Caenorhabditis elegans: one gene and its partner. The protein of the gene in region 1 interacts with the protein of each later gene in a pairwise test. Each region holds a gene or a part of one and is shown in the gene's direction. Other genes may lie near its edges.

The links. The genes of interacting proteins can lie anywhere in the genome.
Region 2: the proteins of vit-2 (region 1) and jip-1 interact in a two-hybrid assay, tested with the Caenorhabditis elegans proteins (one large-scale study listed by BioGRID).

Annotation. Positions count from the first base shown.
Region 1 is NC_003284.9:5,098,872-5,106,721, forward strand, and holds vit-2 (Vitellogenin-2), read left to right. Parts: upstream 1-2,160; 5' UTR 2,161-2,171; coding exon 2,172-3,044; intron 3,045-3,096; coding exon 3,097-3,381; intron 3,382-3,427; coding exon 3,428-6,607; intron 6,608-6,655; coding exon 6,656-6,902; intron 6,903-6,950; coding exon 6,951-7,207; 3' UTR 7,208-7,298; downstream 7,299-7,850. Other genes in the region: C42D8.9 (CUPID domain-containing protein), read right to left, coding at 7,389-7,460, 7,510-7,850. UniProt on the Caenorhabditis elegans protein: Precursor of the egg-yolk proteins that are sources of nutrients during embryonic development. Together with other vitellogenins, may play a role in modulating life-span, acting via induction of autophagy and lysosomal lipolysis.
Region 2 is NC_003280.10:1,325,105-1,330,144, forward strand, and holds the start of jip-1 (PID domain-containing protein), read left to right. Parts: upstream 1-1,890; 5' UTR 1,891-1,896; coding exon 1,897-1,992; intron 1,993-2,732; coding exon 2,733-2,945; intron 2,946-3,562; coding exon 3,563-3,723; intron 3,724-4,309; coding exon 4,310-4,467; intron 4,468-5,040.

The DNA of each region.
Region 1 (7,850 bases):
AAGATGTTCGTCTCCCACACCGAGATCGGATCAGGGGACGATATGCACAATTGGTTTTGCTTCCACAATTCTATTCACCGCTTCACATCCAATAGAAATTCCTGAATACCGGTGTCAACGAATCCTATCTATTTCTTACATGTTTCGGATTGACGATGAAAAAAAAATGGGGGAAAGATCAGATCAGAAGGCAACGCGTTATTGGGGTCATAGTGACGATGGAAATTTGTAAGGGATTACGAAACTGACGGAGTGGGGGATATGAAGGAAAATGAGAAGTGGGTGAATCGGCGAAAGTAATCGTCTAGGAGTGTTTCCTTTCTAATCCCAACGATCGAAGATAAGGATTGCTTAGAAAGTTTATGAATTAAAATTTTTGTAACAAAAAACAATGAAACTTAAAGACGACGCAAAACATATACACCTCAAAATGTTTTTTTCCAAACTTTCGTTTTTTATTCCAAAACATTATTCAACTTATTTTATAGGGACTATCCTACCTAACAGCCCGATAAGCCTACAAATGAGTCTAAAACGCCTGAAATTGGCCTAGAAAGCTTAAGTGAGCCGAAACATATATACAAAATTGTTTTACAAACATAAACTACAGATATTTTACAAATACCGTTGAAACACATTAATTATTATCACAACTGTTTCTTTTGATAAATTATATTACTTATTCTATGAGTATTGTGAAAAGCTGAGACGTCGAAGCAAATCTGAGAGGACTATGAAAAAGTTATTTGGTTTCAAAATTTCTGTTAGATTTCAAAAAGTAATTGATAGGAAAAGGCTCAAAAAATTCAAACAGGAACAACAAAAACGTATTAACTAATGGTTCCGTTTTTGGAATTAAACCATTTGAACCAAAAATATCATAAACTGTATAGTTCAAACATTTGAAATAAATATGAAAGTTGTATATATCGGAGATACACTTCTCCTTGGAAATGGAGACACAGGCAATCGGTGCGGGTTGAATGTCCGGATCGGTTGTGACATCAACAAGTGTGGAGTGATAACCGAAAGGGAAGGAAGAAAGAATAGGGAGTGTTTTTCGGGAAAGGACCCCCCTCCTCCTCCTTCTTACTAGGAGTCTCTGTCCTACATCCGAATTCCGTCGCGTCGTACACCGCCGAGACTGCTATATTCCTCCACGGACATTTCTGGGTCATTTGACTATCCAATCTTTTCTCCTGTGTTGCGGATTCGCCAAGTGCGCAGCGACCACCCCAGCGGCGTTGTCGATTTCAACAACTAGCGTGATATTGGTTTTCGTGGCATAAAGTACTTGATCAAAAATAGTCGACTTTCTGAACGGGAAGTAAAAAAAAAATACAAACAAAACAGATTTCTTATAAGTTACAAATAAATAATGGTGAATTCAAGTTAATTTAGAAACAATTAACACACAATCACAGTACCGGACGTTTGTGAGACCTTATAGTCCAGATTTGGGAATTACTGACAACCGAATAATACGCAGAACACTGGAAAATGAAAAAGTTTTAGGGATGCCGCGGATTTCCAACTAATCAGATTTTTGCTAGACGTACAATTAATGTTAAGTTAGAATAATGTCAAAACATCTGGTGAAGTTTGTGAATAATTGGGTTTTTAATGTTTAGTTGTTTTAAGTTTTAACATTTGTTAGTTCTATCATATTTTTTTGGATTCAGTTTTAGTTTTTGTGATCCTGTGTGCCCAATTGAGGAAAACTGGTTGCGTTTTAGGTGCCTACAATACAATTTTACCAAGTTTTTTTTGCAGATTTTTCTATCCTGTCGGTCACAATGCAACTAGCAAGTAAAAAAGTAATGACTTTGTTTTAAATACCATGTGCTAGCTGAGTTTCATCATGTCCAGAATCACCTCATCGTTAAAAAGTCATGAGTATCAAAGTGCAGTGTGATCAAACTGTATTACTTGAAACAATTTAGTTATATGTTTAGAACCCCTCATTCAAAATTAATAGACAGGGCTCTCACCGAATGTTGCAATTTGTTTCTGATAAGGGTCACAAAGCGGAGCGAATGCTTGAATGTGTCCATCAATGAGCTTATCAATGCGCTAAAACGCTATAACTTCCATATGAAGTCAATCGAACATATGTCAATCTTTAGCCGTATATAAAGGTGCACTGAAAACAGTCCAATCACGGTTCAGCCATGAGGTCGATCATCATCGCCTCTCTCGTGGCCTTGGCCCTCGCCTCCTCTCCAGCTTTCGAGCGCACCTTCGAGCCAAAAACTGACTATCACTACAAGTTCGATGGCCTCGTCCTTTCCGGACTCCCATCCGCTTCCTCTGAGCTTTCCCAATCCCGTATTTCTGCACGTGCCCGCATTCAAGCCGTCGATGACCGCTACATCCACCTTCAACTTGTCAACATCCGCATGGCCGCTTCCCACCTCCCAGAGTCCGAGCAGATGCCTTCCTTGAACTCCATGGAGCAGCGCGAGCTCTCCGAGGAGTACAAGCAAATGCTCGAACTCCCACTCCGTGCTCAACTCAGAAATGGACTTATCTCCGAGCTCCAATTTGACAAGGAAGACGCTGAATGGTCAAAGAACATGAAGAGAGCTGTTGTCAACATGATCTCTTTCAACCCAATTGCTCCAAGAAACGAGATTGAGAAGATCGAATCTTCTTATGACAAGGAGGAACAATCTGAGGAAAACACTTCTTTCTTCACCAACGAGAAGACCCTTGAAGGAGACTGCCAAGTCGCCTACACTGTCATCCGTGAGCAGAAGAAGACCATCATCACCAAGTCCATCAACTTCGATAAGTGCACCGAACGTTCCGAGATCGCTTACGGACTTCGTTACTCTTCCGAGTGCCCAGAATGCGAGAAGGACACCGAGCTCATCCGCCCACAAACTGTCTACACCTACGTTTTGGAGAACGAAGAGCTTAAGGAATCCGAGGTCCGCTCCCTTTACACTGTCAACGTCAACGGACAAGAAGTAATGAAGACTGAAACCCGCTCAAAGCTCGTTCTTGAGGAGAACCACTCCATCAAGAGCCACATCAAGAAGGTACGATAATCTATAATTTTTACAGTATGTTCTCAGAAAAATATTCTTTCAGGTCAATGGAGAGAAGGAAAGCATCATCTACTCTTCCCGTTGGGAGCAACTCGTTGAGGACTTCTTCAAGAATGGAGACAAGGCTGAGTTCGCCCCATTCGAGAAGTTCCCACTCGACAAGAAGATGCACTTGATCAAGACTATCACTGAGCAAATCCAAGAAGTCGAGAACAACATGCCAGAGACCTCCCACTTCCTTGCTCGTCTTGTCCGCATTTTCCGCACCACCTCCACCTCCCAACTTAAGGAGATCCACGAGACTCTTTACGTCAAGGCTGACAAGAAGGTAAAAAATTTCAGTTTCATTATATCCTATACCTTGCAATATTTAGATCCAATCATTGATGGAGCACGCTCTTGCTATTGCTGGAACCAAGAACACAATTCAACACATCCTTGTTCACATGGAAAACGAGGACATTCTCCCACTCGGTCAAATTCTTAAGACCATCCAAGAGACACCATTCCCATCCCAAAGCATCGCTGAGGCACTCATCAAGTTCGCCGAGTCTCGCGTTGCCAAGAACAACCTGGTTGTCCGTCAAGCTGCTTGGCTCGCCGCTGGATCAGTTGTCCGCGGAATTGTTGACTACAAGAACATCCGTCCACTCGTTCGTGAGGACAAGCGTGAGCTCAAGGAGAAGTTCCTCCGCGTATTCATGCAACAATACAAGGATGCTGAGACCACCTACGAGAAGATTTTGGCCCTCAAGACCATCGGAAACGCTGGACTCGACATCTCCGTCAACCAACTCAACGAGATCATTGTTGATAAGCGCCAACCACTCCCAGTCCGCAAGGAAGCCATTGATGCCCTCAGACTTCTTAAGGACACCATGCCACGCAAGATCCAAAAGGTACTCCTCCCAATCTACAAGAACAGACAATACGAGCCAGAGATCCGCATGCTTGCTTTGTGGAGAATGATGCATACCCGCCCAGAAGAGTCCCTCCTCGTCCAAGTTGTCTCCCAAATGGAGAAGGAGACCAACCAACAAGTTGCTGCTCTTACCCACCAGATGATCCGTCACTTTGCCATGTCCACCAACCCATGTTACCAACGTGTTGCTATCGTTTGCTCAAAGGTTCTTTCCTTCACTCGTTATCAACCACAAGAACAAATGATCGCTTCCTCCTACGCTCAACTTCCACTCTTCCTTCAAAACTCCTTCTCTGGAGCTCAATTTGACTTTGCCGCTATCTTCGAGAAGAACTCTTTCTTGCCAAAGGATCTTCACGCTTCTCTTGATGCCGTCTTCGGAGGAAACTGGAACAAGTACTTTGCCCAAATCGGATTCTCTCAGCAGCACATGGACAAATATGTTCAGATGGCTCTTGAGAAACTCGAAAGCCTCGAGAAGGAGTCGACCACTGTTGTTCGCGGACGCCGTATTCAAACTGGAATCAAGCTTCTTAAGGAACTTGCCCAGAAAATGAACATCCGTGCTCGCCCAGCTACCTACACCGAGAAGGATGCCTTCGCCATGGTCTACCTTCGTTACAAGGACATGGACTACGCCTTCCTTCCAATTGACAGACAACTTGTTGAGAATCTTATCGAGAAGTTCACCAGCAACGGAAAGGTTCAGTTCAGCGAAATCCGCCGTCTTCTCAACCAAGAGCTCGAGTTCGAGACGCACCATGCCGCTTACTTCTACGAAGCTATCCGCAAATTCCCAACAACTCTTGGGCTTCCACTCACCATCTCTGGAAAGATCCCAACCGTCATCTCGGCTGAAGGACAATTCTCTCTTGAACTCGAGGGAACGGAACTTCGTTTGACCGTTGAGGCTCGCCCATCTGTTGCTGCCACCCACGTCTACGAGATGAGAATGTTCACCCCACTCTTCGAGCAAGGAGTCAAGAGCGTTCAATCCGTCCGCGCCTACACCCCAATCAAGATTCAAGCCGTCGCTGGAATGAAGAGAAACTTCGAAATCGTCTACAAGGTTGTCGTTCCAGAGAACCAAAAATCGATCGTCTCCCTCACCACTCGCCCAGTTGTCTTCCTTCGTTTCCCAGGATTCTCGAAGTTCGAATACATTGAGGCTGAAGAGAGAACCGTCGTTGTTCCACAATGGCAACAAAAGACTCAGGAAATTGAGAAAGTCTTCAACTTCCTCGGACTTGAAGTCTCCACCCGCGGAAACATCCTCAACCAACACACTCTTGAAAACTGGCTTCTTGCCGAGCAAGACTTCGAGGTTTCCGTTGAGAACAAGAACCGTCCAGCCGAATTCACTGCCCGTCTCACCGTTGGACAACTCGAGAAGACCGAACTCTCCCAAATCAAGTACAACAAGATCTTCGAAAAGGAGTTCGAGCTCGAACAAGAGAACACCGAGAGCCGCCGTGAGTACTTCAACAAGATGGTCAAGAACATCCAGAAGGAGCAAGGATACAAATCCGTCATCTCCTTGAAACTTGAGGCCCCACGTGACTACACCATGAACACCGAGCTCACCACCGTCTGTGACAAGCAAGTCCGCATGTGCCAATGGGAAGTTGAAATCCGCCGCTCCCCAATCCTTGAGGAAACCAAGGAATGGACTCTCCGCTCCCAACTTCTTGTTGTCCGCCCAGAGATGCCATCATCCCTCCGTCAACTCCGCGATCAACCCCACCGTGAGGTTCAACTCTCTCTTACCTCTACCTGGGGATCCCAGAAGAAGAGCGAAGTCACCGTCAATGCTCAACTCCAACAATCCAAAGAACAGAAGAAATACGAGCGTAACATGGACCGTCAATTCAATGGAATGCCAGAGTACGAGCTTTTGATCAAGGCCGCCCGTCTTAACCAGATCAACGCTGTTGCTGAGTACAAGCTCACCCGTGAAACCGAACAAGTTCTTGCCCGTTATTTCGATCTTGTTAAGACCTACAACTACTGGACTGTCTCGAGCCGCCCAGAGAACAACGAGAATGATCGCGTCGTCGTCCAACTCACAGTTGAGCCAATGTCCCGCCAATACGTCAACATCACCATGCAATCCCCAATGGAGCGCATTGAGCTCAAAAACGTTCAAGTTCCACGTGTCTACCTTCCATCCATTGCTCAACGTTCCGTCAAGCACCAACTTACTGAGGCTTCCGGATCTGTCTGCAAGGTGCAAAAGAACCAAATCCGCACTTTCGATGATGTCCTTTACAACACTCCACTCACCACCTGCTACTCTCTTATCGCCAAGGATTGCTCCGAGGAGCCAACTTTCGCTGTTCTCTCCAAGAAGACTGAAAAGAATTCTGAAGAGATGATCATCAAGGTTATCCGTGGAGAACAAGAAATTGTTGCCCAACTCCAGAACGAGGAGATCCGCGTTAAGGTTGACGGAAAGAAGATCCAATCTGAGGATTATTCTGCTTACCAAATCGAGAGACTCGGAGAGTCCGCTATTGTTATTGAGCTTCCAGAAGGAGAGGTTCGCTTTGACGGATACACCATCAAGACCCAACTTCCATCCTACAGCCGCAAGAATCAACTTTGCGGACTTTGCGGAAACAATGATGATGAGGTGAGTTCAGTGTAGAAATTTATATTGAGTTATAACAAAAATTTTCAGTCCACCAACGAGTTCTACACTTCCGATAACACCGAAACCGAAGACATCGAAGAGTTTCACCGCTCATACCTTCTCAAGAACGAGGAGTGCGAAGCCGAGGAGGAGCGTCTTTCCGAGAAGAAGAACTACAGAAAGTACGAGAGAGACGAGGAGCAATCTGATGAGTATTCATCTGAGGAGACCTACGATTACGAGCAGGAAAACACCAAGAAGAGCCAGAAGAACCAGAGAAGCCAGAAGAAATCCGGTAAGATACAATTTCTTCAAATTTCATATCGATAATTTTTAATTTAAGATCTTGTCGAGAAGACACAAATCAAGGAGTTCTCCCACCGCATCTGCTTCTCCGTTGAGCCAGTAGCCGAGTGCCGCCGCGGATACGAGGTCGAGCAGCAACAACAGAGAAAGATCCGCTTCACCTGCTTGCAACGTCACAACAGAGATGCCAGCCGTCTCTTGAAGGAGTCTCGCCAACAGCCACTCCAACTTGACGACTACCCAGTCTCTTTCGTTGAGTCTGTCAAGGTCCCAACCGCCTGCGTCGCTTATTGATTAAGCTAGACCGGCACTTTTATGTAAATTGATCATTCACATCTGTTTGATTGTAGTCTTTTGACATTTTCTAAATAAAATTTTCACTTTGAACTATTGTTTTATTCTTTTTAAAAAAATTGCATTACTGAAAATTGGAAAAAAAATTGAAATGAAGGAAATATTTATACAAATAGCGTCGCTAGCAGTGCCGTTTGATAGATTTGTCCAATGCCATAGCGTGTTTCAGTTCGTCGTGTACAACGTGAAAGTCCTGAAAAAAGCTAGTCTATGCTTTGAAAGAACCGGAAATTATAACCAACAGTACTAAGAGAACCACCATCAGGATCCTCTTTCTCCGAAGGGTTTTGTTGAACAGGATTAAGAGCTGCAGCGACCAAAGCTCCAACGCCAGGAGATGCTCCCATCAACGCACCAATCGCTGTAGGGGCTGCCGCCAAAACACCAATCGTCGGAGATGAAACCACTGTGACACTACCCGGCGAGGACATCGATGCTCTTTGGACCGTCTGGCTTGTGCCATCTAGTGAGATATTTCCAGTTTCCGCAAAAACAGCCGTTGGGCGGGAAATCGTTAGCTGATCAAGGTCGGTCGTTTCATCAATACTGGTGTCATCGAACGAGTCTCGCCGTAATTGTTCAA
Region 2 (5,040 bases), on another chromosome or scaffold:
TCGAGAATTTGAACAATTTTTCCCGCGTTTTCTGCACAATTTTGACGTTTTTGGGTTACTGTAGCGCCAAAAGTACGCAAACACCGAGTCTCTCACGCGAAAATGCACAGAATCTCAAAATCATCGGAAAAAACAGTCCCAGGGGTGAAATGAGGCGCTGAACTTGAATTTGACAGTTAAAATTATCAAAAAATACCTGAAAACATTGAAAATTCAATTTTTTTAGTTTTTTCTTTCAAAATTTCTTTTTCGGAAGATATATTCGCCTGGAAATAAATTATAGGGCTATATATTAAATTTCTAACATTTTTCTTATGTTTCCTGCTCAAATTTGTCTTTTGGGGGGTACTGTAGCCCCAAAAGTCCGCAAACACCGCACACCTTACGCGAAAATGCACAGAATCTCAAAATCCTCTGAAAAAAGTGTTCTAGGGGTGAAATGAGGTGCTGAGATCGAATTTCAATGTGAAAAATTATGAAAATCGTTGGATTTTGAGAAATTTTTTTGGTTTTTCGAAAAAAACCTGCACCTCCCCACCCCCCCCCCCCCCCCTCTTTCAGGGGGTACCCCTTAATCTATTCCCACTCATTACTACATCTTTTTTTTGCTCTCATTTTCTCTGCGTCTCTCACTTTCACATACTATCTCGTCGGGAGATTAGTGTGAAGAAGACGCTACCCTCAGAGAGCAGGAAATGCGCGGAATTTATTGGAAAATGTGTGTGCTCTCTCGATGAGGGAAATGGAGTGAAGAAAGGGGGGGGAGGAAATTGAGATAACATGTCAAAACTCGTGATATGATATAGCCAATAACATTGGTGAAAATTATAAGCCAGAAAAAAACATCGCAAAAAAAAATTTTTTTTAGCAATTTTTCCCGAAAATCTTTATTTATTCAATTTTCATCAATTTTTCATGCTAAAATTCGAACTCAGCACCTAATTTTACCCCTAATCCATCCTTTTCCGACAACTTTCGGTTTCTGTGCATTCTGTCGTAAGGTCCGGTGTTTGCGTACTTTTGGGGTTACCGTACCCCCGAAAAGTTGAGTTTTTGGCAAAATGTTTTTTTCTCGAAAATCTTTATTTTATCAAGATTTTTCCTGATTTTCATGTTAAAATTCAAACTCAGCACCTTATTTTATCCATACCACACCTGTTTCCGACATTTTTGAGATTCTGTGTTACCGTACCCCGCAAGACTTAAAAATTGAGCTAGAGACTCGGAAACAAGACTTTGGCTGGAAAATTTGACAAAAAATTCGTAGGGAACTTCAATTTTGATTTAAAAAAGTTTTTTTGGAATTTCGGGAAAAAAAAATTTTAGAAAATTTTTTTTCCAAACTTATTTTCTTTATTTTTCATTTTTCACTTTCTCAATTTTTCATCTAAAAATTCAAATTCAGGTCTTGATTTTACCCCTACCACGTCTTTTCCGGCAATTTTGAGTTTCTGTGCATTTTGTCGCAAGGTCCGGTGTTCGCGTACTTTTGAACCTACAGTACCCCCGCAATACTCGAAAATTGATCTAGAAACTCGGTAAAAAAGGCTTCGGCTGTAAAATTTGACGAAAAAATTGTTGAGAAGTTAAATTTTGGAAAAAAAAATTATTTTTGGAATTTCGGTGAAAAAAAATTTTTTTTTGGAATTTTTCAAGAACAAAAGTTTTGAAAATTTTCTGAATATTTTTTCCATGATCCCCTTTTTTGAGTTGTTTTTCAACGCAATTTTCTCTGCACTCTCTTCACTCTCTCATCCACTCCATTCATCATTTTTTCCAGCGCGCATGTCTGGAACAGAGATTCACTTTTATTTTTCCTTTTTTCTTTTTTTTTTTTTGCTCCAAAACTTCTTTTCCACTACTTGAAATTTTAAGTCTTAAAAATTTCAGCACAAAATGAGCGCATTTGAATGTCGAAAATGCGATGATTTTCCGATTGAGGAGAACACGGAGGACGAGGATGATGACGAGTGTCCGACGGTTATTCGGAGGGTAGGTTTTTTCAGGAAAACCGTTGATTTTTAAAGGTTTTAACTATAAAAATCAAATTCAGCAGCGTTTTTTTGCTCCTAAACCGGTTTTTTTGCAAAAAGCAACAAAAAAATTAAAAATTTTTTTTTTTTCAAAACTCGAAATTTTTCTCGAAAACCAGCAACTTTTAAAAATTTTCATATCAAAATTCAAATTCAGCGCCACTTTCTACCCCATTCCCAGCTTTTTCAGCCAATTTTAATTTTCTGTGCATTTTGTCGTAAGGTATGGTGCATCGATTTGTGTTTGCGTACTTTTGAGGCTACAGTAATTCCAAAAAACTTAAAATTGAGCCAGAAGTTTAGAGAAAAACTTATTAAGGGTGAAAAATTACGGAGAATCCGAATTTCTTAATAAAAATTGTGAAAAATTTCAAATTTCTACAAATTTTCCAGTAAAAAATTTTCTCGGCAAAAAAACGCAACTCATTTTTGGAATTTTTCACACCGAATTTCATTTTCAACACAATTTTTTACCCCTCAAACACCATTTTAAGTCAATTTCAAAGCATTCTGCATTTTGTCGTAAGGTGCAGTGTTTGCGTACTTCTGGAGCTACAGTAACCCAAAAAATTTCAAAAATGAGCTAGAAGCTCGAAAAAAAAAAGTTTCCAGGGTAAAAAATGTCGGGAACTCGATTTTCATATCGAAAAACCAAAAAGAAGCCTCTAAAACCTCCAAATTTCCTGAATTTTTTTCCAGTCCTACTCAGCCGACTGGCTGCACAACGACAATTCCTCTGGAGGTGATGACGATTCAGAAGAGGATTCTGACGCCGAATTTCTGGTTCATCCGTGTCTTCGGAGTATTATTAAATCGAAATCCGCTTACGCAGTTCCCCGTAACTCTGATGACGTTGCAGCGGCGGCAGCGATGAAAAATAACAGAATTAAGCCGAGCAAAACAAGCTTTGAGGTGAGCTGGATGAGGAGGTGGTGGTGAAGATGTAGTTTGTAGTCTTTGTAGTTTTTGTAGTTTGTAGTTTATAGTTTGTAGTCCGTCAGACCAATGTTTTTTAGTTTAAAATTGATTGAGTCTGCCATTTGCAGGTTCATAGTTTTGTGTGGTTAGATCTGTTATTTCGAAGTTGGTAATTTATAGTTTGTAGTTTATGGTTTGTAGTTTATAATTCGTAGTTTGTAGTTTGTAGTTTGTAGTCTGTAGTGTATAGTCCATCAGGCCAAAATTTGCAAGTTTAAAATTGATTGAGTCTGTCATATGTAGGTTAATAGTTTTGTTTGGCTAGATCTGCTATTTTGAAGTCAGAGATTTATAGTTGTAGTTTGTAGTTTGTAGTTTGTAGTTTGTAGTTTGTAGTTTCTAGTTTGTAGTTTGTAGTTTATAGTTTGTAGTTTATAACTTGTAGTTTGTAGTTTGTAGTTTGTAGTTTATAGTTTGTAGTCCGTCAGACCAATATTTGCCAGTTTCAAAATGATTTGATCTGCCAAATTTAAATTTTTTGTATATATTTTACAATTTATAGTTTATAGTTTGTAGTTTGTAGTCTAGCAGACCAGAACACCATTTTTCAGATTTCCTTATCAAAAATGATGGAATCAACGAGTAAAAGCATAGCGGAAGAAGCAGAATACTCAGTAGCCGACCTACTTCCGACACTTGATGAAAAATGGCCGGACCCTGAGGAAGAAAATGAAAATTTGAAGTCAAAGCGGCGGAAATCCAATATTATGAGGTGAAAATTCGAATTCTCCATCGTTTTTCACATGTTACCCGTTTTTTCTGGGTCTCTATCGTTAATTTTGAGACTTTTGGGGTACGGTAGCCCCAAAAGTCCGCAAACACCGTGAGCGTGACGCAAAAATGCACAGAAAAACTCCGATTTTGCTGAAAAAGTAGAGATATGGGTAGAAAATCATGCTGATATTGAGTTTTGGCATGAAAATTGTTGAAAAATCATTTTTATATCGCAAAAAAGGAACATTTTCCCTGTTAATCCAAATTTTCCCCCTTTGAAACATAAAAATTCGAATTCCTCACCATTTTTCACTTCTAGAATACTTTTTTTTGGAGTCCTAGCGTAAAATTTGAAAATTTGAGGTTACTGTAGCTTGAAAAGTGCGCAAACACCCAGCATCTTACGACAAATTGCAGAAAATCTTAAAATCGGCTGAAAAGGCGGGTTTAGGGGTAAAAAATGACGCTGAGCGTGAATTTTGATATGAAAAATGTTGAAAATATCTAGATTTTGTGAAAATTTGGAAAATTTGGTTCAGTATTGGTCTGCCAAAGTCCAGCATACTCTAAACTCAAATTTCCAGGTACTCCCCGAGCCTATGTGACTCTGATCTATCACTGAACCTCCATGATAAGGATTCTGAAGATGATGAGGATCGTATTCTAAACCGCCCGTCCGGATGTTGGTCCTCGCCGCCCAACTTCTTCGATGAAACATTTCGCGGTGTTTCTCCAATGAATCGTTAGTTTGTTTACTGTAGTTTGTAGTCTAGGCTTTACTATAAACTACAAAAATTGGTTGTGAAAAAATGTTTTGAAATATCAAAAAAAAAAAAGAAAAAAAATCGAATTTTTTCCCAAAAATTTCAAACGAAATCAAATTTTGACGTTAAAATTCAGATTCCTCGCATTTTTTCACCCTAGACCCATTTTTCCTGGTGTTTCCTGCTAAATTTTGATCATTTTGGGGTACTGTAGCCCCAATAGTACGCAAGTACGCAAACACCGAGCCCCTCACGCGAAAATGCACAGTTTTCTGGAATTGCGTAAAAAAGTTGGGGTAGGGGTGAAAAATGGTGCTGGAAACGAATTTAATAGTGAAAATGTTTTAAAATCGGCAGAAAATATAAAAATTTGAAGAAAATTTTAAAAGTTGTTTTTCAAAAAAAATTTTATCCAATTGTTTTGCACAAAATCAAATTATTAAGTGAAAATTCAGATTCCTCGAATTTTTTCACTCTAGCACCATTTTCCCCCGTGTTCTCTGCTCAATTTTGACCATTTTGGGTTACTGTAGCTCGAAAAGTACGCAAAC